Linked DNA regions of Arabidopsis thaliana. The protein of the gene in region 1 interacts with the protein of each later gene in a pairwise test. Each region holds a gene or a part of one and is shown on either strand. Other genes may lie near its edges.

The links. Proteins that work in one complex are often made in the same cells at the same time.
Region 2: the proteins of MAF5 (region 1) and AT3G16160 interact in a two-hybrid assay, tested with the Arabidopsis thaliana proteins (one large-scale study listed by BioGRID).
Region 3: the proteins of MAF5 (region 1) and AT1G48150 interact in a two-hybrid assay, tested with the Arabidopsis thaliana proteins (one large-scale study listed by BioGRID).

What each region holds. Positions count from the first base shown.
Region 1 is NC_003076.8:25,994,371-26,004,739, reverse strand, and holds MAF5 (K-box region/MADS-box transcription factor family protein), read right to left. Parts: upstream 7,147-10,369; 5' UTR 7,091-7,146; coding exon 6,885-7,090; intron 4,474-6,884; coding exon of another isoform or gene 4,416-4,473; intron 3,930-4,415; coding exon 3,813-3,929; intron 3,719-3,812; coding exon 3,619-3,718; intron 3,497-3,618; coding exon 3,455-3,496; intron 3,153-3,454; coding exon 3,111-3,152; intron 2,637-3,110; coding exon 2,529-2,636; 3' UTR 2,410-2,528; downstream 1-2,409. Other genes in the region: BST1 (DNAse I-like superfamily protein), read right to left, coding at 236-313, 404-458; MAF4 (K-box region and MADS-box transcription factor family protein), read right to left, coding at 8,810-8,914, 9,024-9,074, 9,274-9,315, 9,443-9,542, 9,632-9,693, 10,250-10,307.
Region 2 is NC_003074.8:5,472,866-5,479,097, reverse strand, and holds AT3G16160 (Tesmin/TSO1-like CXC domain-containing protein), read left to right. Parts: upstream 1-3,750; 5' UTR 3,751-4,007; coding exon 4,008-4,144; intron 4,145-4,251; coding exon 4,252-4,347; intron 4,348-4,484; coding exon 4,485-4,653; intron 4,654-4,760; coding exon 4,761-4,991; intron 4,992-5,078; coding exon 5,079-5,176; intron 5,177-5,265; coding exon 5,266-5,369; intron 5,370-5,460; coding exon 5,461-5,732; downstream 5,733-6,232. Other genes in the region: AAE13 (AMP-dependent synthetase and ligase family protein), read right to left, coding at 79-156, 277-369, 502-600, 987-1,094, 1,207-1,329, 1,455-1,540, 1,667-1,838, 2,160-2,345 and 2 more; ASPGB1 (N-terminal nucleophile aminohydrolases (Ntn hydrolases) superfamily protein), read right to left, coding at 6,065-6,232. UniProt on the Arabidopsis thaliana protein: Plays a role in development of both male and female reproductive tissues.
Region 3 is NC_003070.9:17,781,673-17,786,868, reverse strand, and holds AT1G48150 (MADS-box transcription factor family protein), read right to left. Parts: upstream 1,473-5,196; coding exon 501-1,472; downstream 1-500. Other genes in the region: AT1G48160 (signal recognition particle 19 kDa protein, putative / SRP19), read left to right, coding at 1-90; AT1G48145 (plant mobile domain protein), read left to right, coding at 1,956-2,003, 2,057-2,362; DPMS3 (dolichol-phosphate mannosyltransferase-like protein), read right to left, coding at 2,955-3,014, 3,161-3,268, 3,366-3,467.

The DNA of each region.
Region 1 (10,369 bases):
GCTTAGCAATGAAACTTGGGATCAAGAAAACCCTAGATTTGATTAAAGACCTTAACGAAGAGACAAGTCAATATCAAAATAAAGAAAAAAATACACAAATCTTTGACAATGTAGTACGATTTATATCGCTTTCGTAATCATGTGAATAATGTCAAATTTTCTTTGTAGGTTACCCAAAAAATCAAATTATTCTCAACCCCACATAGAAAAAATCATCACAAAATGATCAATTTACCAGAAACAGTCTTCCAAATCATTGGAGAAGTGTTGTCAAGAACCGATTTCTTTCGAGACGTCATTCGTCGCTCAAAATCTATAACAAAAAAACATGATTCAAAATCAAATCGAATGATTTTGTTTTGATTTTCTTGTGACGTACGTAAATCGTTTAAGAAGAAATTACCATTGAAAACTCCATAGTGGTGGTCTAGGTCATCATTATTTCCTCTATTGTTCATATTATTTGTAGCATCTTCTTCTTATTCTTCTTCTTCTTTACCACATCGTCTTGATCCGAAAATATTAGGAAGAATTGACTAAAAACAGAAAATGTCCCACAAAACACCAAATGAAAAAATCTAAATTAATTCAGTTTAATTAATGGGTTTCACGTCGTGACATATTCGAAGAGAATCAAAATTAAAAAAATTGAAGGAGGAAGAGAGAGAGAACCTTCTTGATCTTCTTCTCGCTTTGGAGGCTGTTCTCTGAGTCGCTATCTTTATTGGAACTCATTCATCAAAATTTACTAATCAGAAAATTAAAAACAAAAAAAAAAAACAAAGTGGAAACATTAATTTAGGGTGTTAATACCTTCGAAATCGTGCGGAGAAGGACATTTGTTTAATTTAATTCTTGAATCTAGGGTTTGATTTTTTCACGACTATTGAGTATTATTGACATGAGTAAAAATGACAATTTCATTTTATTGATTAATTAAATACGATTACTTAATTAATTACCAGAAGAGGAAGTTAATGATTTCTTGTATACTAGTCCGTTCGAAAAGATCAGTTTTTGGCGCCAGCTCCTTCGGAAGTTTTTAACAACACCATACAATTATTATTATTTTGGATGAAATGTTTAACTGATTTATCATGCTATACAATATTTACAAGAGTTTATGTTTAAAACATTGACAAAAGAGACTCAAAAATAGTAAAGAGCTAAAAAATAATAAAAACTTGCTATTAAACAGAGCTTCACGTGCCTCTGTTTCTACTCATCTTCTTCTTTTTTTTTTTTTTTAAACATCTTATGATTTGTGTAAACATTAATTAGAGATTATTAAATTTTGTGTTCTTTTGTTGGATCGTTAAGTTTTTACGTTACAAATCCATCAATCAATAAAGTTAGAGGAAGCACACAAAAGTTAGCCATTTAAATTTAAATTAAATTATATAAGTAAGATTTAGTATTGATGATTTAATCTAATTATGTTAGTTTTATACTAATTGTTAAGATTTATTGACGATTATTACAATTATTTTTTTATATGCAGTAATTATGAAGATCTGATTTTTTTTCCCTTTAAATAAAAGATGTAAAGATCTAAATTAATGAATCATATTTGTCATTTGTACTAACTACTAAGTAAGAAAAGCTTTCTCCTCCAAGAAGATTTTAATGAATTTCTTCTTTTCACTGAACAAACTGATAAATAAGATTGGAATAATCGACATATTTAGTAAGCATAAAATACGAAACCATTTTACTCGAATTTATATCTATTATCAAGGTAGAATTTGAATTTTTTTATACTGAGGCACTTTTTTAAAAAAAGGAAAAGAATTTGAATATTTTATTTATACGATAGTTGCCAACATAATTCCAGAATCTTTGTTTTTTTTCTTTCGGGTAATACATTTTCCATAATCTTTTATATCCTAAATTTATGCATATTAGCCTTAGAGAGTTCCGAGGAGACAACCAGTGTTACGATGGGGCCGGAAATCTCTAAATGGGCCGCAAACTATTTCTCAATCTGGACTCTGTGCAATTACACCATGACACCTAATATAGTTATTTGCAGGCTTTCCGCCTACAATTTTTTTTGGATCAGACATTTATTAGAGTTACTTTTGTTTTTATTTTAAACAGAGTTAATGTGATCTCAATCCGATTTTTATGTTCAAATTAAACAGCAAAATTCATTACTAAGGTACAAAGTAACTTTGCCACGAAGGTAAAGTAACACAAGTAGCGCGATTAAATAACAAAATTACTAATTTTGGCCTCAAGGTTCTTCACGCTGAAGAAAGCAAAACTTTTATAAACTCATCACCTTCCCTTTTTTTCAGATAAGAACACACAAAACATTCGAAACTTCTGATCCTGTCTTCCAAGGTAACACAAAGGTCGATATCTTATTTGAGGGAAAACATTATATTTTTGGTCTATAAATTTATCCGTATGCAGGGGGAGAAGAGGATTTTAAAACATGTAGCTTCTTTATGATTTTTACACATGAATTTTTTTTACCTTTTTTGAATCAGGATGATGAAAAATCAGCCGTTGATGATTGGTGGTTACTTGAGAAGCGGGAGAGTCTCCGGTGGGCTGTGGCCAGAGCTATTTTCCGGTGACATTACTGCTCTTTCATCCCCTGTTTCCAAAATTTTCTTCAGCTTCCCCACCTGTAAGAAAATTTCTTTTCATTTTTTATAGGTAAACAACAAAATACTTAATATAACAGCAAGATCTAGACTTTTAAAGCATGGTAATTTGTTTTTCAGTTCTTAAAATGATCTTTTCATGTGTTAGAAACTTTCTTACACTTCTTTTTCTACATATATTAACTAAAATATAACATGAAACATAGAGTTTAAGAGCATGATTGTCTTTTTTTGTTGCAAATTTAAAATATAATTGTGGGTTTCACCAGAAAGTGTGTAGTAGCCATTAGAGAGTCCCTTAACTTTCATCTGTAAGCTTTTTAAACATGTTCTTTTGAAGTATGTATTAATTAAAAAGCAGGTTTCTTTAACTTTCATACGTATGTATAGTATATGCAAGTGCATACGTATCTATCTCTATCTAATGTCTATCTATACGACGTGTAAAATGATTAAATTAGTTTCTTTACGCTTAAGAGATTGTGCCTCTGTTACCTCGCTAGCTAGAACCTTGTTCTTTTCTTTCAGCAACTTCTCCTATTTGAGGACAAACAAACGTCATAAAGGTATATTAGTTTCCAACAAGTTCTAAAAATCCTCGTCACAATTCGGTAATTCACCAGGGAGAAACTTGAATTTGATCAAAACTTTAAAACCTTTTTAATTTCAGTTTCATTTAAATTAAACCAAAAATTATATATCAAGAACTAAGACAAGACCAAAAAAAGACATATCTAGAGAGCTAAACTTGGTCTAGTGTTCTGCATACTCCTAGCTTAAGAGGATTTAAGAATCAACCTTCAATGGCCGGGATAGTGGATAAAAACTAAGGTACTGACCTTATCCTGAAGGTTCTTCACAAGCTCCATCAATAACTCTGTCTGCAACAAGACATTGAGGATTGTGTCAAATTGGAAACATGGTCCAAAGTCAGGCAAGATCCGAAATCTGTACTTGGAAAACGAATTAGATAGAAGCAATCACTTAGTAGCAGCATATATACCTTCCTAGCTCTAATTACAGACAGAGCACTCTTGAGCTGCTCTTCCATGGAAATTAGAGATTCTATACTTACATTATCCCCTTTTGCTTCTTCAATCTTTCTGCATATATATTCAACAAAATAAAAAGAGTATATATATATATATATATATATATATATATATTTATCAGACGAAGAGGGGAAAGGATCTTAACCTTTGAACTATTTCTAGTAACTCCTTGTGTGAAAGATAATCCTGAGTTTTGTCTTCAAGATCCTGCCATGAAAGAAAGATTGTAAAATTCTTGCGTTTCCAAGAGACGTAAACGACTCTAACCCTCGAGAATTAAGTTTGTTTGGTATACGACAAGTTTAGAACCTTGTCGTAAACCTTCTAATGCATTACTGGCAGTGAAGAACTCTACGCCGATCCCTCACCACAATGTTAAGACACTACACAAAGCATCCACATAAAGACAATCTTAACGGACTAGTCGAGCTAAGCTTCTAAATGCTCATCTCAATTATATATGCCTTGGACGGTTTTTGAGACCAATGAGTGTATATATGGATGACAAGATATAGTTTCTAAGGTTCTAACCCTCAAGACCTAAATTTGGTTACAACCTTGTTGTACACTTTCTAGTGCAAATACCTCTATCACAGTCTCTCTCCACAATAATAGGGCCCTACATGAAGTATCAACATAACAACCATCTCAATGGACTATAACCTGAGCTTCTAAATGCTCATCTCAATCACATATGCATGTGTCCCCATGCCAGGGACTAGATTGCAAGGTTCTAAGAAGAACTTACCAAGGTTTCAGGATCATCAGCTTGTTGTATTTTAAAACGACTGATGATCTTGGCCATGCTGGAGAGAGATGAAGAGATAAACAAATAGGGATTAGAAATAATGTATACCAAAATATTTTGAAACTATGAAACAAATATCAATAAGAGAAAGTAACCTACTTCTATATATGTATAGGGTCAATTTGTGTTACTACACTGAGTCAATGGTTTTAGTAACCTTACTCAAGGTTTCTCTATTGAATTGTTAGTTGTTCCGCTTAAATAACAACACAAGGTTTGTTAAGCAATAGTAGTTTTTTGTATTTTTCTAACCATATATCCATATTATGTGATGGACTTTAGTTTTAATTTTCCAGGACACAATTTTCTCTTTCATTTTAATGTTAATGCATGTATATGGGTAAATTAAAAAATAAAATGCTTTAATTTCTAACTTTCCAATAACAACTTTAATCAACTCTGCAGCCTCTAATTTGTTTTAACTTAGAAAAGTTTGAGAGATATATGCATAAAATGAGCAATTTCTTCATATGAGTAATTAATTACCTCACTACTTTCTTATCACTATCAAAGCTAAATTAATGATCTAACTTTTTTTTTCAAACTATCAGCAGTCGAAAAAAGAATAACTGGATGGAGAGTTGAAAAAGATTCCTAAAAATGAAATTTCAATGAAATTCATGTTTGCAAGTGAAAATCTTCAGAAGTTGGTGAAATCATATTGACAATTCATATATGAAAAGCTATAACTACCCTCACAAAGTATTGAAGCACTCACAGAATAAGCCAAATTGGACAACTGAAAACAAAATCTTTGGCTATAAACTTTAACATTTTCACATTTTGAAATACTCCTTCAACAATAAGCCAAGAAAATGGGTTTAGCATTTCAGAGAAGGTGAAAAAAATGATAGGACTGAGCCCAATCAAGCCCAGAAAGACACACCACAAAAGCTAACTTAGCTTATGTATGATGGCGCCTTTAGGTCTTAAAAGGCATTATAGTTTGGTCTCCTCCTACCATATGTGATTTTTTTTTTTTTTATGGATACCAACATTTTGATCACAAATTCAATCCTACTTCGTGATGTCCGTGATCTATTGCAAGATTTCAGATAATAGAGTAAGTTTGGTTCATTTGATCAGCATGTTGTTAACTCCATCCTAAATGAGTTGTAAACTATGCAATTAGAAAGACACATAAGAACCACAATCTCAAGCGAAAACACTTCTGTATATTGCCACTAAATTAAAGTATCAAATTAAAGGAGCTACCAAGGAAACTAGCTACAACTGGATTTTAACTATTTTAAACCTTGAACCAAATAAAAAAAAGTTCTATTAGTAATATCTATAATTTGTGCATGGTAGTTGCCAAATTAACATTTCTGCTTGCATGATCAAGTATTAGTAGAGTTTCTATGAAGGCAATGGTAAGAACGTTTATATATATTGAGTTAGTGACAAGGACATCCCCATTTCTACATTATAGAGGGAAAAAAGCAAGTAACATGAATTGAACAAAATTGATATAGAGAGGGTCGGTACCTCTTTTTGGCCCATGAGACCCAATATCTCCAAAACGACTGACTAATTAAAATGCAATGCAAAAGAGAAGAGAAGGAAACAGTTCTAGGAGTGGAAGATAAAGCTACTTAATATGTAGACATGCATGCATCTTGCAAGTTGGTATATGCACACAAAAATTACAATTAAAGAGGGAGGAAATTGATGACATATTGGACTTGTAGCCTCGTGGTTTGTACTAATGATCACCGCTGTGTTATAATTCATGTTCAAATCTAGGAGTGGAAGTGTGTGAGTTATCGATGACAAATAAGGAAGACAACTCTATACTCATATCAAAGGAGTAATGAATCATATGTGAAAACTATGAATTAGAGTCTTCTTTATTATAGTTAATTATCCAAGAACTACTTTTGACCATCGAAATCAATAAAAAGAGAAACTTATAAATCATGTAGAGTTGTAACTAACCAAAAATATCAAAAACAAATGGCACTCGTTTCCACTAGATTCTTGATTTATACCCCAACAAATCCACCCAAGGTGCATTGAACTAGTGAGAGTAAAATGAGCCTAAATTAAACAATTTACATTGTTCTTATAAAACTCTAGTAGCAAGACAAAGTTAAGATGACTTGAAATCCTAATAAACAAACATGAATTACGGATTACCACCACGTGTAGAAAAATCTCTTGAAGTGCATGCAAGGAAAAAAAGAGTATAAAAACAACAAATCCCTGCAACAAATTGAAACAATAAAAAAATGGAAATTTAAGAAATCGAACACGAAGAGTACATCTTCCGCCACCACATTGTACAATCTTAAATTTGGCTAACACAAGAAGATTCGAAGGGGGCAAAAAAAACCCTAGTTTCTAAGTTTCGGAGAAGATGATGAACTAAAAAGAGAATCTACAAAGAGGAGTTAAAAAGAGTGAGACCTGTCGCCGGAGGAGGAGTTGTAGAGTTTGCCGGTGGAAGAGACGATGAAAAGAGCGACGGAGGATCCACAGAGAATTGAGAGTTGACGAGCTTTCTCCATGAGACCATTTCGTCTCTTACAGAAAGTGACTTGTCTACTGCTTTTGTTCTCAATTCGTTTGATCTCTACTCTTCTTCTTCCCATGGCTTCACTCTTCCGACACATCTAATCCCCTAATTTCTTCAATTCTGATGTCTGTATAAACTGGTCGGAGATCCTGAATTATTTTGCATTTTTATTTCTTCTTTTTTTTCCAGTTGTTTTCTAGCACAATCCATGAATTATTTTGTATGACTTAATCCCCAATTACTAAAAATATCAATGAACATATTTTAATTAAAACAAACAAAAAAACATTAAGACTTGCAAAAAAAAAAAACTAAACGGTGCGTTTAATCAAATCTAGACACGTATTAACGCATGCTGAATTCCCTGAGGGCGCGTTTATTTTTCTTCTCTGTGTCTTTTTTAAAATATCTTCGTTACTGAATAAAGACAAAACAGTGAGAAAAAGAAAAAAAAAACTCATTGCGTAATCTTAAACCTATAACAACATCATGTAAATCCGAATCTCTAAAAGGATTAGCCGAAGTGGGGATTTGGATTTGTACTAATGTGTCCTTGGCACATTCACCAGCCGCCCAGCTCAAGTCATTGCTCTGCCAACTCAAACTCAAACAACTCAAGGACGTTGATTGGATTTAGTTCATTCCACCGATACTAGTAATGACTAATGAGAATATATTGGGCTGTAGCAATACTAGTAATGAGCATGTATTGGGCTGTATGAGAAACCAAAACATTGGGCTGAGCCATGTAATGATTTTTCTTCTGATGCATTTTAATAGAAAGTTTTTGATCAAAGAAAAAGCCCAAACAAACTACTGCTCAAGTTATTCCAGCTCAGGTTACTGTAATACTGTTCATATTGTTTTTTATATGAAGAACTTTTTCCAAACAACAAAAAGTCTGTAAATTTAGCTTAGGGGAAGAAGAGTCATCCAATAATTTCATGTTAAAAAAGTCTGTAAATCCTCTTCTTCCCAAGTGTTTGAACCCCTACATAAAATAAATTCCTTTACTGTATGTGCAAATGTCTCTCTAGCTAGTAGTCGTAAAAGAAAAAGAAAAAAAAGAACTAGATAGGTAATTTGACAGTGTAAAACTCTAGAGAGAAATAAAAAATAAAAAAATTAGGAAGATCAACGGAAATTGCGTTGACTATGATTATTGATGTCAATCGCGTACCCTGAATTTATAAATTAAATTAAATTTTTCATTTTATCTATATATATATATATAGGAAAACTGGTATAATCTTTAGTTAAATGGGCCGAATCTGGGCTTAACAGTAACAGTTTTTTTTTGTGCAACCTGACAGCTAAGACAAGTCTTTTACCGGCTTTCCGCCTAAAATCATTTTTTCCTCCTTTTTTTGAAAAATCAGTTAAAAGAGTTCCGAGGAAAAAAAAAAACGAATTATCTGACATCACTCTGATATAAATTCTCCCAACAGCTAAGAAAAATGGTCTTAACTTTGCCACGAAGGTAAAGTAACAACTAGCAATTATTTATTTTTATTTTTTTTAATCATTTTGGTCTTAGGGTTCTTCACGCTGAAGAAAACAGAGCTTTTATAAACTCAAACAATTCCTATATTCAGACAAGAACACACAGAAAAGCACGAAAGTAAATACTATATCATCCTGTCTCCGAAGGTAACAATAAAAATCAATTACTTTATTTGATGCATCTCCTTGGATGACTTTTCCGTAGCAGGGGGAAGAAGAGGATTTTTAACATACAGTATGTAGCTTTCCTTATGAACTACAAATCATAATTTTTACAATTTTTATTTTTCGAATCAGTCGTTGGTGATGGTGGTTACTTGAGAAGCAGGAGAGTCTCCGGTGGCTTGTTGTCAGAGCTACTTTCCGGTGACATTGCTCTTGCATCCTCTGCTTCCACAGACTTCTTCATCTTCCCCATCTGTAAGAAATTTGTTTTACGTTTCTTTTTTTCTTCTATAGGTGATGATTCCCTATTAAATATTACTAAGAAGATATGAGCATGTTTTACTATCCATAAGAGATGGTACCTTTATAAGCTGGTTAGTCAAACTCTGGTTCTCCTCTCTCAGCAGCTTCTCCTGTTTGGACACCATCACAACTTTATTCAGTTTTTCTAAAACATCCTCATAGCATTATTTTCGGTGATTCAGCAGAGGGCAAGCGTCGATGACATATATAGAGATCTTAACTTGGTCTAGTGATCTCCAAACTCGGAGTTTCAGAGGATTCAAGAATCAGCATAGCTAGGGATGGCGAATAAAAACCAGAAATACTAACCTTCTCTTGATGGGTCTTCACAAGCTCCATCATTAGTTCTGTCTGTCACAAGACATTAAGAGTTAGGTCAAATCGGGGAAATGATCTGAAGTGCGAAACCCAAACACTGCTCTTGGACCAAATATTTTATGGACTAGGTGACTGAATATCTTAGTAGTAGCATATATACCTTCCTAGCTCTAGTTACAGACAGAGCAGTCTTGAGCTGCTCTTCCAGGGACTTTAGACAATCTATACTTACATTATCGCTTTTCGCTTCTTCAATCTTGCTGCATATATATTCATAGATAAACAACAGAAAAGGAAAACAACTTCTATAATCAGAGGAAAAGGGGGAAAAAGGAGTCTTAGTGCTAACCATTGGATTGTTTCTAGCAACTCCTTGTGCGAAAGATAATTAAGAGTTTTTTCTTCTAGATCCTGCCATGAAAGAAAGATTTTAAATTTCTTTTGTTTCCAGGAGACAAATGATTCTTAAGTTTGGTACACGACAAGTTTAAAACCTTGCCGTAGACTTTCTAGTGCATCACCGGTAGTGAAGAACGAAGTGCTTCTATGCCTATCTCTCTCCACAATGTTAAGAAACTACACAAAGCATCCACATAACAACCATCTCAATGGACTATTCTACCTAAGCTTCTAAATGTTCATCTCAGTTGCATATGCCTTAGACAACTTTGAGAATTGAGAGGAATGGGTGTATATATGAATGACAAGAGATGTTTCTAACACTCGAGAACTAAAAATAGGGTTAGACTGGAATACTACAAGTTTAGAACCACGTCGTGGACTTTCTAGTGCAATACCAACTGTAAAGAACAGAGTGATTCTATGCTGGTCTCTCTCCACAATGTTAAGGCACTAAAAACAGTATCAGCATAATAACCATCTCAATGGACTATAAGATATCTTCTAGATGCTCATCTTGATTACATATGCATGCGACCTGATATGCAAGGTTCTAATAAAAACTTACCAAGGTTTTAAGATCATCAGCCTGTTCTAATTCATAACGACTGAGGATCTTGGCCATGCTGGAGAGATCAAGAGAGAAACAAAAATGCATTAGAGGGACTTTTTGAAACTTCGAATCAAA
Region 2 (6,232 bases), on another chromosome or scaffold:
TATTACTAGTACTTAATCTGTGTAGCATTAGTTAAAAGGTATTGAGTGAGGACGAAAGAGAAAGAAGATGTCACTGACCTCCACACCAGGAAGCGGTTTGCCGACAGTACCTGCATTTCGTGCACCCCGTAAGGGGTTTGACATTGCCATTACAAACTGGGAATATTGAAGATTTTTTTTTAATTCAGTAGATGTAACTACTAAGAACAAGCTTGTGTTAAGCTTGTTCTAAGGTATTGATTATGGTAACTCAAAGAGACAGGAAAATCTACTTACCTCAGTCATGCCATATCTTTCCAAAAGACGATGACCTGTGATACTTTCCCATTGATGCATGACAGGTCGAGGGAGAGCAGAGGAGCCAGACATCTGAAAATGTATTTCATTGGCTAACATTTAAGCACTAGTTTCATCAGAATATGAAAATAGCATAGCTATCTAGGCAGATAATGATAAACATTAAGCTGGATTGGCTCTTCTAGGAGATATTTGGTTGCTTACCATTAGGCGAAGCTTCCGTGCAGCAAAAGCGCTCGAGTCCTGCATCTCTTTATCCATTGCTTCATAACCTTGTATCAACCGAGTGTACATGGTTGGAACCTGTGTATCGCAACAATAACTTTACCAATTAAAAATAGCTAAATCTCTCGCTGTTTCTTTCTATTTCTCATCTCAGGCTAAATTTCTCTAAAGCAAAGCATGTTTGTTTATATATCTAGAGCGCAAGAAGCAAACTGGAAACTGATCAACTCAGCCAAGACTATCATTTTGTTACATAGTAAAATTGAGTAAACTCACATTGAATAGTGAATACTTCCCTCAATTCAAATACTAACTAACACTAGAAACAATTAATAAGCTTGCTATATCAGGCTTAAGAAAAGGATTATGCAACAAGAAATCAAACAATTAACTTGAGGCAGGGACAGCTAAGCATAAACTAGTATTATTTGTCTGGAATACAAGTAACAAAAAATAAGACTTACTCCAGTAAATACAGTTATGGAGTCGTTGGTTTTTTCATCATTCACCGGATATGATTCACGCCATCTACGCCAGATTCCACTAACACTAAATTTGGGCAAAAACTCCACCTTGAAAAAGGAATGTGAAAATCAATTAAAAACCTAAAACTAGCCTGATGTTTTCCGAAGGTAATGTATTTTGAAAGAGCTAGCCAAAGCAAATCTCAATAGTATAAGTTACCAAAGACCGTGCGTAAAGAGGAGCAAATAAAGCGTTGAAAAGCCCATGAACATGATGTAGTGGGAGGCAGTGGAGAAAATGATCAGCAGATGTGTACTCCCAAGCTTCAGTGAGCATTCTAACCTGCAACATATACAAGCTTCTAGCTTATAAGGTACATCATAATTTAGATACATGCAGACCATTCTATTGCAGGTTGGGTAGATTTGAAACATGACATGCGCTACATAAGGAGGTCGGATATATACCTGGGAATTGATGCTGTTGTGAGTATGAACAACTCCTTTTGGCTTACCAGTTGTACCACTAGTGTAGACGATCAATGCTGGATCATCTGCACAAATAAAGGCTGAAGTGATGCAGAAAATCCAGACCAATAATTGCTTGAGGTAAGGTGGCAAAAATTAAAAGAGCAGCCTTCATTATAAGTTCACCATCTCAAGTATATTCAAAAACTTACCTAGAAACTTTCCTTCTGCTTCAAAACTGTCATCCTGAAACTGATTGCAAGCAACAGTTTCCGAAGTTGAGTTAACAACAGGAGGAATAAGATGAAATCGAGCACCACTCTTTGCTGCGATGGTTTTCATAGTTTCACTATGGTCCTCTGTGCTCAATAACAGAGATATATCCTAGAAACCGAAGACAACGAGGTTAGATCCCAAGAAAATGTTAATCATTTTTTCTCGAGAGTAAAAAGAGCATAAGGCACACTTATTTTGTGAAACTTGAATGTGGTAGAAAACAGAGCAAACCAGAAAACTTCTGCCTTTTAGAATATTTTCTACTTTGTTCTACAGAGTACCCTTTTTAGTCTATGGAAAAAGACCTAATGCTAGAAAAACCAAGAGCTTGGATCAAAATTCTGAGATCACAAAAATAAGATCAAGAATACCTAACAATTGAGCCGAAATTAAAGCACAAGGAAATAGGAAGGCAAGTAGATTCCATACCGAATCATTCATGACATGTAAGAGTTCAGCCTCAGGATAGCTGAGTGCAAGTGGAACCGCTACACCACCGCTAAACCATGTCCCCAGGACTCCTGCAACAAACTCAGCTGAAGGTTTTGCCACAATTCCGATTCTAGCTCCTTTTAGACTACCAAACCCTTCATACTTCTTAGTTTCTTGACCTCCCTACGAAATTTATAGAAGACAAAAAAAGTCAATAACCATAAAGCTGTAAACAAACTGTGTGATAGCTTCAAGTAGTAGATATAGTAGCTACAATTTCAAACCAAAAACCATACATTTGTCGTATCATCTTTTAAGAACAATTTAGATATCCTCAAAGCAGACGATGTTAGCTGGCCATAAGAGTAACTCTTTCCATCGGCTTTAATCGCAATCCTATCACAAGAATTAGACGCTTCTGAAAAAGCTGCTTTAAACACTTCCATGAGTGAACCAGACTGTGAAGCTGCAACATTTTGATTACATAGATAAAATTCAGATTAATATATAGAAACTACATGTACAAAAAAAGAACAGATTGAGTTCCTTGGAGATGCTGCAAAATTTTCAATATAAATTCAGATCAAAACAACAACTTGTTCAGGTTTTTACGGATCATCAATGTTACTATATGGAAAGCACGAATCTTTAAGACATTTCGTCGAACATGTAACATGCAAAAACCAAACAAAGGTAAAGAAGAAAACTTACAGAAGAGATGGTTAGATTGGAAGAATCGAAACCCAGAATTGGAAAACGAAGTAGAAGCTGGGTGGGATCGAGGAAGAAGAGGAGAGGAGAGAATAGCGTAGGAGTTGTGGTTGAGTCGATGGTTAATTAAAGACAAGTAGTTGAAACTCTTTAATGTTGTCGTAGCGGTCATTTTTAGGTCTGGTTCGTTAAAAGGTTTCGACTTTTTTCGCAAGTCGTACAGTCAAATTACGTAGCCGTTCTTCTTAGGTGGTGGTTGCAATCGCCAAAAGAGAGCCTTCGTGTCGATCATGAAATAGCGACTGAAGCGTTTGGCGACTTTGATTCAGTGGAGAGTTTGGCACGTGGCGTGTTTTGATGATTAAAAGTGAGTGACAGGCGATAATGGGTTATTCTTTAATGACGCTTTATTAGGCATTTTTTTAAGGTTAATTACTGATTTGCTTTTTCTCATTTATTTGTGTTGTGAATTTCTTTCTAAGTATATTTACACAAAATTAAAGACCATCTGAATATTGCATTTTGAGTGATGTGATCCTGACCGTTGATGAATAACAATTGTGGTTAGCTAACATCTTATACATATGCTTTGATATGCATTGATTTTATTATTGTGAAGTTTTGAACTCTAGAGGAAGATTCTATTTAATGCCAACATGCAATTAATAACTTTTTTTTTATCAGTACCTTTTAAAGGGAGTGTACATCTTAGGTCTCCGGTTTGAGCATTGGAGAAGACTAATTTTGTTATATTAAATTATTAATCATGAAATTAGATTTCTTTAATCCAACTCCATCTTCGTCATCAACACATCATCATTCCCTCCAAGATCACTCTCTCTCGCTTTTGAATACCTTCGCGTTGTTCACAGAACCTTTTTGTTTCTTAGAAAACCCCTTGGAGCTGGCCAAAAAAAAAATCGAGAGAGAGACAATCATTCATCGTTCCGAATTAGGATCCAGCATTCCATTTTTGTTCTGATATCTGTCAGCCATGGCGACTCTCCGATACACTGATCTGATCTGATCTATGAATCGACGCTTCTCTGAGGATTCCTCACCGTTCATGCTCTAATCGGTTCGCCAAATTGAGGAACTAACTTGTGTGGCGACTATAATGTGTCAAGGACCGATATGACAGGAAACGCAGATTCCGGCAAAATCGCGACAGAGAAAGACCCTAGGAAGCTCGTTTTCACCAAATTGGAGGTATCTCCCGTCTTCCGAGAATCTCCTGTTAAAGAACTTCCTCTTTTTCCTCCGATTTCTCGGTATTGTTCCAGTTTCTCTGCCAATTTTCACTAGAGATGCTTCTCGTTTGAGTAATTTCAATCCAAAATCTACTCTCTGATCTCCACTGGTCTTGATTTTGAAGCAGAGAGCATTCAGAAGCAAAGGATAAGACAGATGAAGAAGGCATTACTTCGAGGAAACACAAAGGATGTCGATGCAAGCAGTCCAAATGTTTAAAGTTGTAAGTTCATTTCAGGATCCAAGAATTACTTAGTGTTAAGCTGATAGAGATTTGAGTATAATGTTGAATAGTGAGATTTCTATTATCTGCTGTAGATTGATGCATTATTGGATATTTGTTTGACGCTTGGTTATTAGGTACTGTGACTGTTTTGCATCAGGAGTGGTATGTACAGACTGTGATTGTGTTGATTGTCATAACAACTCTGAGAAATGTGATGCTAGAGAAGCAGCTATGGTGAATGTACTAGGTCGCAACCCAAATGCCTTCAGTGAAAAGGCTTTAGGTAGCCTAACTGATAATCAGGTATGTTCTTGACACCTATCACTTTTGTAGGTTAAGCTTCAAAGAGGTATATTTCACATCCTTTTTCATTTGTAAGTATCTGGGATGTTCTGTGTTTTGTATTGTAGTGTAAGGCTGCACCTGATACTAAACCTGGACTGCTTTCGAGAGGCTGCAAATGTAAAAGAACCAGGTGTTTGAAGAAGTACTGTGAGTGCTTTCAGGCTAATCTTCTGTGCTCAGACAACTGTAAATGCATCAACTGCAAGAATGTTAGTGAAGCGTTCCAGCCTCCTGCATTTTCTGCTCACAATTCCCCACAAGTATACCGGAGGAGAAGAGACCGAGAGCTAACTGAGGCAAGTGAAATATACTACTTGCTTCATAACATATATGCACTTTTGGGTTTATCTCCATAAAACTCATTTTTCTGTCCGGAATAGCAGTGGAATTCTTGTCCAGCTCCGTTATTTTCGATACCTGACAATTCCATTCAAAATGCTCTGGGTTCCCCTATGTCTTGCTCTCCTAAACTTCCTTACAGGTTCGATTTTGCATTTCCTAAAATGATAGTTCATCTTCCTTCACCTCATAATCATAAATATTTTAACTGAATTTTCATTGTGCTACTAGAAAGAAAAGGTCCCTCATGGGATACACCTCTACACTTCTTCCGGACTTGGGAGATTTATGCTCACTTCTCGTTGCAGCGTCAGAATCTGCTACAACAACTGCAGGTATATCTGTAGTCTCTTACAAAATCTACACTTTACTGGATCTACTATTCCTTTGGCTTCATCAACATACTTCCTTTAAAATCTCACTTAGAGGACCAGAACAGGATATTTACAAAGCCTGATGATAAGGAAGCCATTGAGCTGTCAAGTGAGTCTGAGAGTCGTAATGTGGAAGAAGAAATACAATCACGTGGAAGATTGATCGAACTGATAGATGTTCAATACAATGGAGAAGAGGATTCCCAATGTAAGACCAAGACAAGTGTCAATGAAACAGATATATACATGGAGCAGGAAAGGGCAGTGCTTGAAACTTTCAGAGACTGTCTCCAAAAGTTCATCAAATCGAGACTGGAATCATAACAGGTAATAATTCCATCTCATTTTGATAATCCCTCCATCCTCAAATAAATCCAATTACTGCACTTTTTTGTTGCTATTTATGACAGGTAAGGTTCATACAAGAAACAGAGAGCTGAACCATAGTTTCTTGATTAGGCATGGAGCTGAGACAGATCAACAATTTTAAACACGAACTAACCATTTGAAACCGCATTAAACACAAATCAATATAGGACTGGTGATAACGACATAACTAAATTTACTCCTCCAGCTTTATGATAATGAATAACCAAATTAATAGAGCGATGACTGATTAAATACTAGTAAGACATTTTCTTAATCTAAAATATTTCTCACTCCCAAATAGCAACCTCCATGAATCCATCCTCAGTTGCACATCCCCTGAACATCCCATTAGAGTTAAAACCACAAACCACCTCTCCTTTATTCGAGACAGCAATGAGTCCAGCGAACCCTTCGTCAAGTCGATGCTTGATGACGTAATCAACCGCTTCTTGGAG
Region 3 (5,196 bases), on another chromosome or scaffold:
CAGAAAGCGAAGAAGCAGGAACCTCAGGCCACAACTTCAACCTCTGGAACTTCTTCAAAGTCAGGCAAAGGTGGCAAGAAGAAGAGATAAAACAAGCCAAGCCCTCCCTCTCTCTCATCAGATTTTATGGCTTTTAATCTCTTTAACTTTCTGAGAAGAACACAAAGGTGTTTGCAGGTGTAACAATGTTTCAAATAGAACATCGTCTCTTTCAACCCTAAGCTACTTTGTTTTCACCATTCTACTTCTTCTTTTTGGCATCATCCATTGACATTAGACAAGAAAGAATGCCTAAAAAGGGAACATAAAGATATTGTAATTCACCACAATTAGTCTCACTAACCACAGCCATAACCAAAATCGAAATTACAGAATCAAAAGAGTTGAGATAAAACAGATATCTATAGATCGTTACACACAACAACATAAATGGTAATTACCTAATGAACTAACTAAAACCGTAATTAACTATGAGATCGTGCTTAATCAAGCTGTGAGAACTAACTAAAACATGGGCATTCCATTGCTTCTTCGCTTAAGTATTCACTTATGTCGATCAATAACTCGTCGTCTTCGTTGGTTGAGGAATGATCTTGAAGAGGAACCTCAAGATTGTTGTCGTCCTTAAAAAGACCAAACACGTCGTCGACATCTAGGTTTTCCCAAAAGCTCTGATCCTCCTCTGTGAACATCGGTTGTGTTTGTGTTTCTTGGGGAAGACGCATTCCGTTATTCTCTTCCTCTGTTTCACATAAGAGGCCGTCAACAAATCCAGAATCTTCATTCACCAAGTAACGAGATTGATCAGATGATGACTCGCTGCCAACAGAGAAAACAGGGTTTTGATCAAAACAAGTAGTAACTTGTGACGAAGGCTCAAGTGAGGAGTAAGAGTTCTGATCAAAAGAAACAATTTTTAAGGAAGACGGAGACAAGGTACTAGGGTTTTGACCAAAATCAGAAGCAATTTGAGAAGACGAAGAAGAAGACCCACTGTCGTTGTTAGGGTTTTGATCGGATTTAGAAACAGAGTGTGATTTTTCTTTCTTCTCAAGATAATCCATGAGATGCTTCTTCGTTCTCATCAAACGATCTTCGATGATTCTTAACTCAGACAGATCGTCACAATCACGGTAAAGATCGGGCTCTTCCCACCAAAACTTGGCTGATTCAGGGTTAATAGTAGTCTTGGGAGGAGACTTGTTGTTGAGGTAACAGTCAACAATTTCAGAGGCATGAGAGTAGCCCGAGAATGAATAAACGACATCGGAGTTCTCGTCAGGAGAAGTTACAAAAACGGCTATGTTGGCTCCGGAGAGAAGGCAAAGATCAGCCGCTTTGGAGAAGAGTGTGGGACGGCGTTTGCTGCAAGCGACGGATCGTTGTTGTTTAGTCATGCGTTTCTCAATTTCAATCTTTCTTTTTGTTCCTCTTTTCCTCATTGTGCAATCAGTTACGTTCGACGACTGCATTATTAGGGTTTGTTTTGTGTCTTACAGAGAGAGATAATGGAATCGAGAGAAAAAGAGAGAGTGAAAAGAGAGTAGAGGCAAAGCACAAATATATAGAGATTAGATAATACTAATGTCGGTATTATCATGTGACTCGGTCAAACTTAATTTTTTTAATTTTTACCAAACAAACATTTTCATTAAGATCATCAAGATTATTGCATCTAATCACAACTGTTATCATCAAATATCAACACAAACACTATAAATTCAGAATCAGATTATGCATGAGAGAAGAGAAAAGAAGAAGAAAAACAGGATCGTACTTGGAGAGTAATACAACACAAGCACCCACATCCTCCTTAACCAAAACAACAACAACAATATCAGACAAACAACCATAAACAGTAAGAAGAAAAGATCAAACACAAAAAAAAAGCTCCAACAAAGTTGTTGAAGGGTCAGCAGAGGAGAGCTCAAGCTCGAACCAAAGTGTTTGATGTAATGAAGCAGAGAAGGAAGATGCTGATGGAAGGATCAATGCATGAGAAGGTGCTAGCATTAAAGGCAGACAACAACAAAAAAAATCTAGCCCTCATAAAAAGTTTGCTTCTGGATGCACGAATGGAGATGAAACAAGAAAAGCATATAAGCATAAGGTTCTGAAGTCATCTGATGAGTCAAACATTCACATCGCTGTAGGGGATGGAAATGAGGGACAGGATTGTTGTTTGCTTCATGATGATAGCATCAGAAGTGAAGAAACTATGAAATCCAATGAGCAGTACTCTGAAAAGGGAAACAATGATTTTGGTGAAGGTGATGTTGATAACAATGACAAGACTGATAAGAGATTTCAAGAGCTGAATGTGCTAGCATTGTCGATAGAGGAGCGTATTCTTAAGGCATAAAGAACTGTGGCATGGTTGAACGAAAGGAGAGCCATAAACACACAGAAAAGCAGCTGGTTTGAATTAGGTGTTGTTGTGGACAGATAAAGAAAGGAGAAGGCAAATGCAAGTTGAATATCAAAGTCATATCTTTATGATCTTTTTGGTTCAGTGTCTTTTGATTTTCCTGCTTAGTATCTTTTAAAAACTGGTTTGGTTCCAAATGTTTCATTTGTATCTTTTGAAACCTACTCAGTTATGAGCGACTTAATACCTTCTTGGTGTGTTGCATATCAGAGTTTTCGTACAGAGGATAGCCTGATTCAATCTGTTGATGCGATCTCTTTTGCATACCTGGAGAACTTACTAGACACAAAGGCCAAAGCTTTATGGTAATTCACCACAAGAAAATGTAAATGCTTCTATTGTTACTAATAAGTTTCTGCAATTTGGAATATTTGTTATACTTTTGCGATTACTTTTGGATGCATACGAAGCTTTTGCGTTTTACCTCAGTGACACTGTTAAATTCAAAAATTCCAAACAGTACAGTTAAGTCTTTTGTCAATAACGAAAAATATCTCTGATGAATGGTCTGATAAAAGCCTTTGTGTCAATTCGATCCAACATCTACCCCTTTGTGCTTGAAGAAGTCCTTAGCCTCTGCAATATCCTGCAACCAAAGAAACAGATAAAAGACACTAAATTAGCAAAAATATTGAAGGATGTCAACATTAGATAACACGAATCCGTATAGAGCAGGATGAAAAATAAGAACAAGGCCGACTATGGCAAACAAAGAGCTAGTCTCAAAAGTACCTTCTGCAGCAGAACTGCTTCTTGGGGGCAAGTAGGAAACTGCATGAGCCCGACTCCAACCATTAATAGGCCATAGCATCCGAGGGATACAACAAAGTAGATCGGTAGCTGTAAGACAGACCGGCAATAATACCAAATCAGAACAGAATCCTAATTTCAAAAAAGCAAGAAACCAAAAAAGAGGACAAAATTGTTTGTTACTCACCAACCATGTATGGCTTCGAGGAATAATTGCAGCCTGCAAAAGACCAATCCAGAAGGCAGAGATAGCCACCAACAGGCTCAAGATCTTTACTATATGCTTCATTTGTCCTTTAAAGTAAAAAATTATGTAAAAGAGTTTAAGTTAGCTGCGAATAGAAATGCATAGACGATCACAGCATTCTCCAAGAAGTTGTAGAGCATGTAAAAGAAATCACTCAGCGAGCCTAATAAACAAAATCTAGTAAATCAATGAACTATTCACAATTTCGTAGTTGTCATGATCAACACATATATTCCTCAAGAGCAATATTAACATCCCATTTACCCCACCAAAATTGATCACAAGCTCAAACCATAAGAAATATACCAATAATAGCTATCAGTTGTAACTAGATGGAGTCTCAACAAAGCAAATGGATTTTCATGTTTCAGTGTGTAATGTTCACTAACACAAAGACGCGCACATAATTTCCAAACATCAAAGTAAAACTAGAATCTAGCACAATCTGAACAGCTCAGTAACCCAGTTTATACAACTCAAACCATCATGCTATATCCAGATCAATCCGTACTTTTTCGACAATGACCTCTGACTGGGATAAACAAAATAAGAAATTGAAAATTATCTGACTCCGAAATATTGTAACATCAAAAAAAAACAATTTCCAATTCCTGAGATGATCAAGTCCGAACTGAAGCTACAGAACCGATACAAAATCAATGAGTTCCAACAGTTCCTCAGACCAAACGTCAAGAACTCAAAGTCTCAGACCATACGAAACTTAATCCTAAGAATTGTGTTAGCTTCCAAGAATCCAAATTCACAAATGCTGATCATGTAACATCAGAGGAGGTAAGAAAAACAATCACAGGAACCAAAGCAATAGCAAAAAAAATCCCTTACATTCAGGCAAGAAGCATTTAAAAAACAAGAATTCTAAAGAACCTGAGCTGCTTAAACAGGATTTGAATCGAAAGCATCTGAATCGAACCGTGTAACAAAAAACAGGATTCCAATTTCATATCGCTACCACTGATGACTGATCAGTAACCATAGAAACATTTCTAGACGAAATTTTTATATGGTTCCTTAAAACTACATAGTTCTATCACCAAAAACCGAAAACAGTAGCACAAAAGTTTCCTAGAATCATCTGAAAGCTTATACTAAATTAGCTAAATAGTACACCAGAACAAACACAAGGTAAATCACCAAATCAAGATAAAACCATGGCAAAGAAATATAAATTCCCAACAAAACCGATCCGAAAGGAGATGTTCCTCCAAAAAATTATCGTAAATCGATACAACACACAAAATAAAGAGGAGGAATCGATTATACTCACAGTTAATCGATGAGATCGTGATCGTCTAAGCGATAAAATCAGTTATAGAAGATTAATCTGGGTGTGGAGGTCACAAGTACTCGCCGTCGACGACGATGAATCGACGATATAACAACCGGTGAATACGGGGAACTCGTGAATATGCGAATTCACTTATACACTAAAACGATGCCGTATAGTCCCCACTTATGTTCCTCCGGTCTAAATGTCATTAATCCACATTTTGGTTCACGCTATATCGGTTTGATGCGGTTTCATATCGGTTTCATTCGGTTTGATGCGATATTCCCCTTTTGTCACTTTTAAGTTCGGTTTTAAAGTCACTTTTCCATACAGATGAGAGTATTAGCATTTTCATAAGCTCAATACGTTTTTCAAATATATCAACTTTTACATTTGATTCGGTTTCAATTCTTGATCAAAAGCAAGGATTGAAGAATTCGGTTCTCTATTCCAATCCGACTAGTAAATAAATCGTCGTACTAA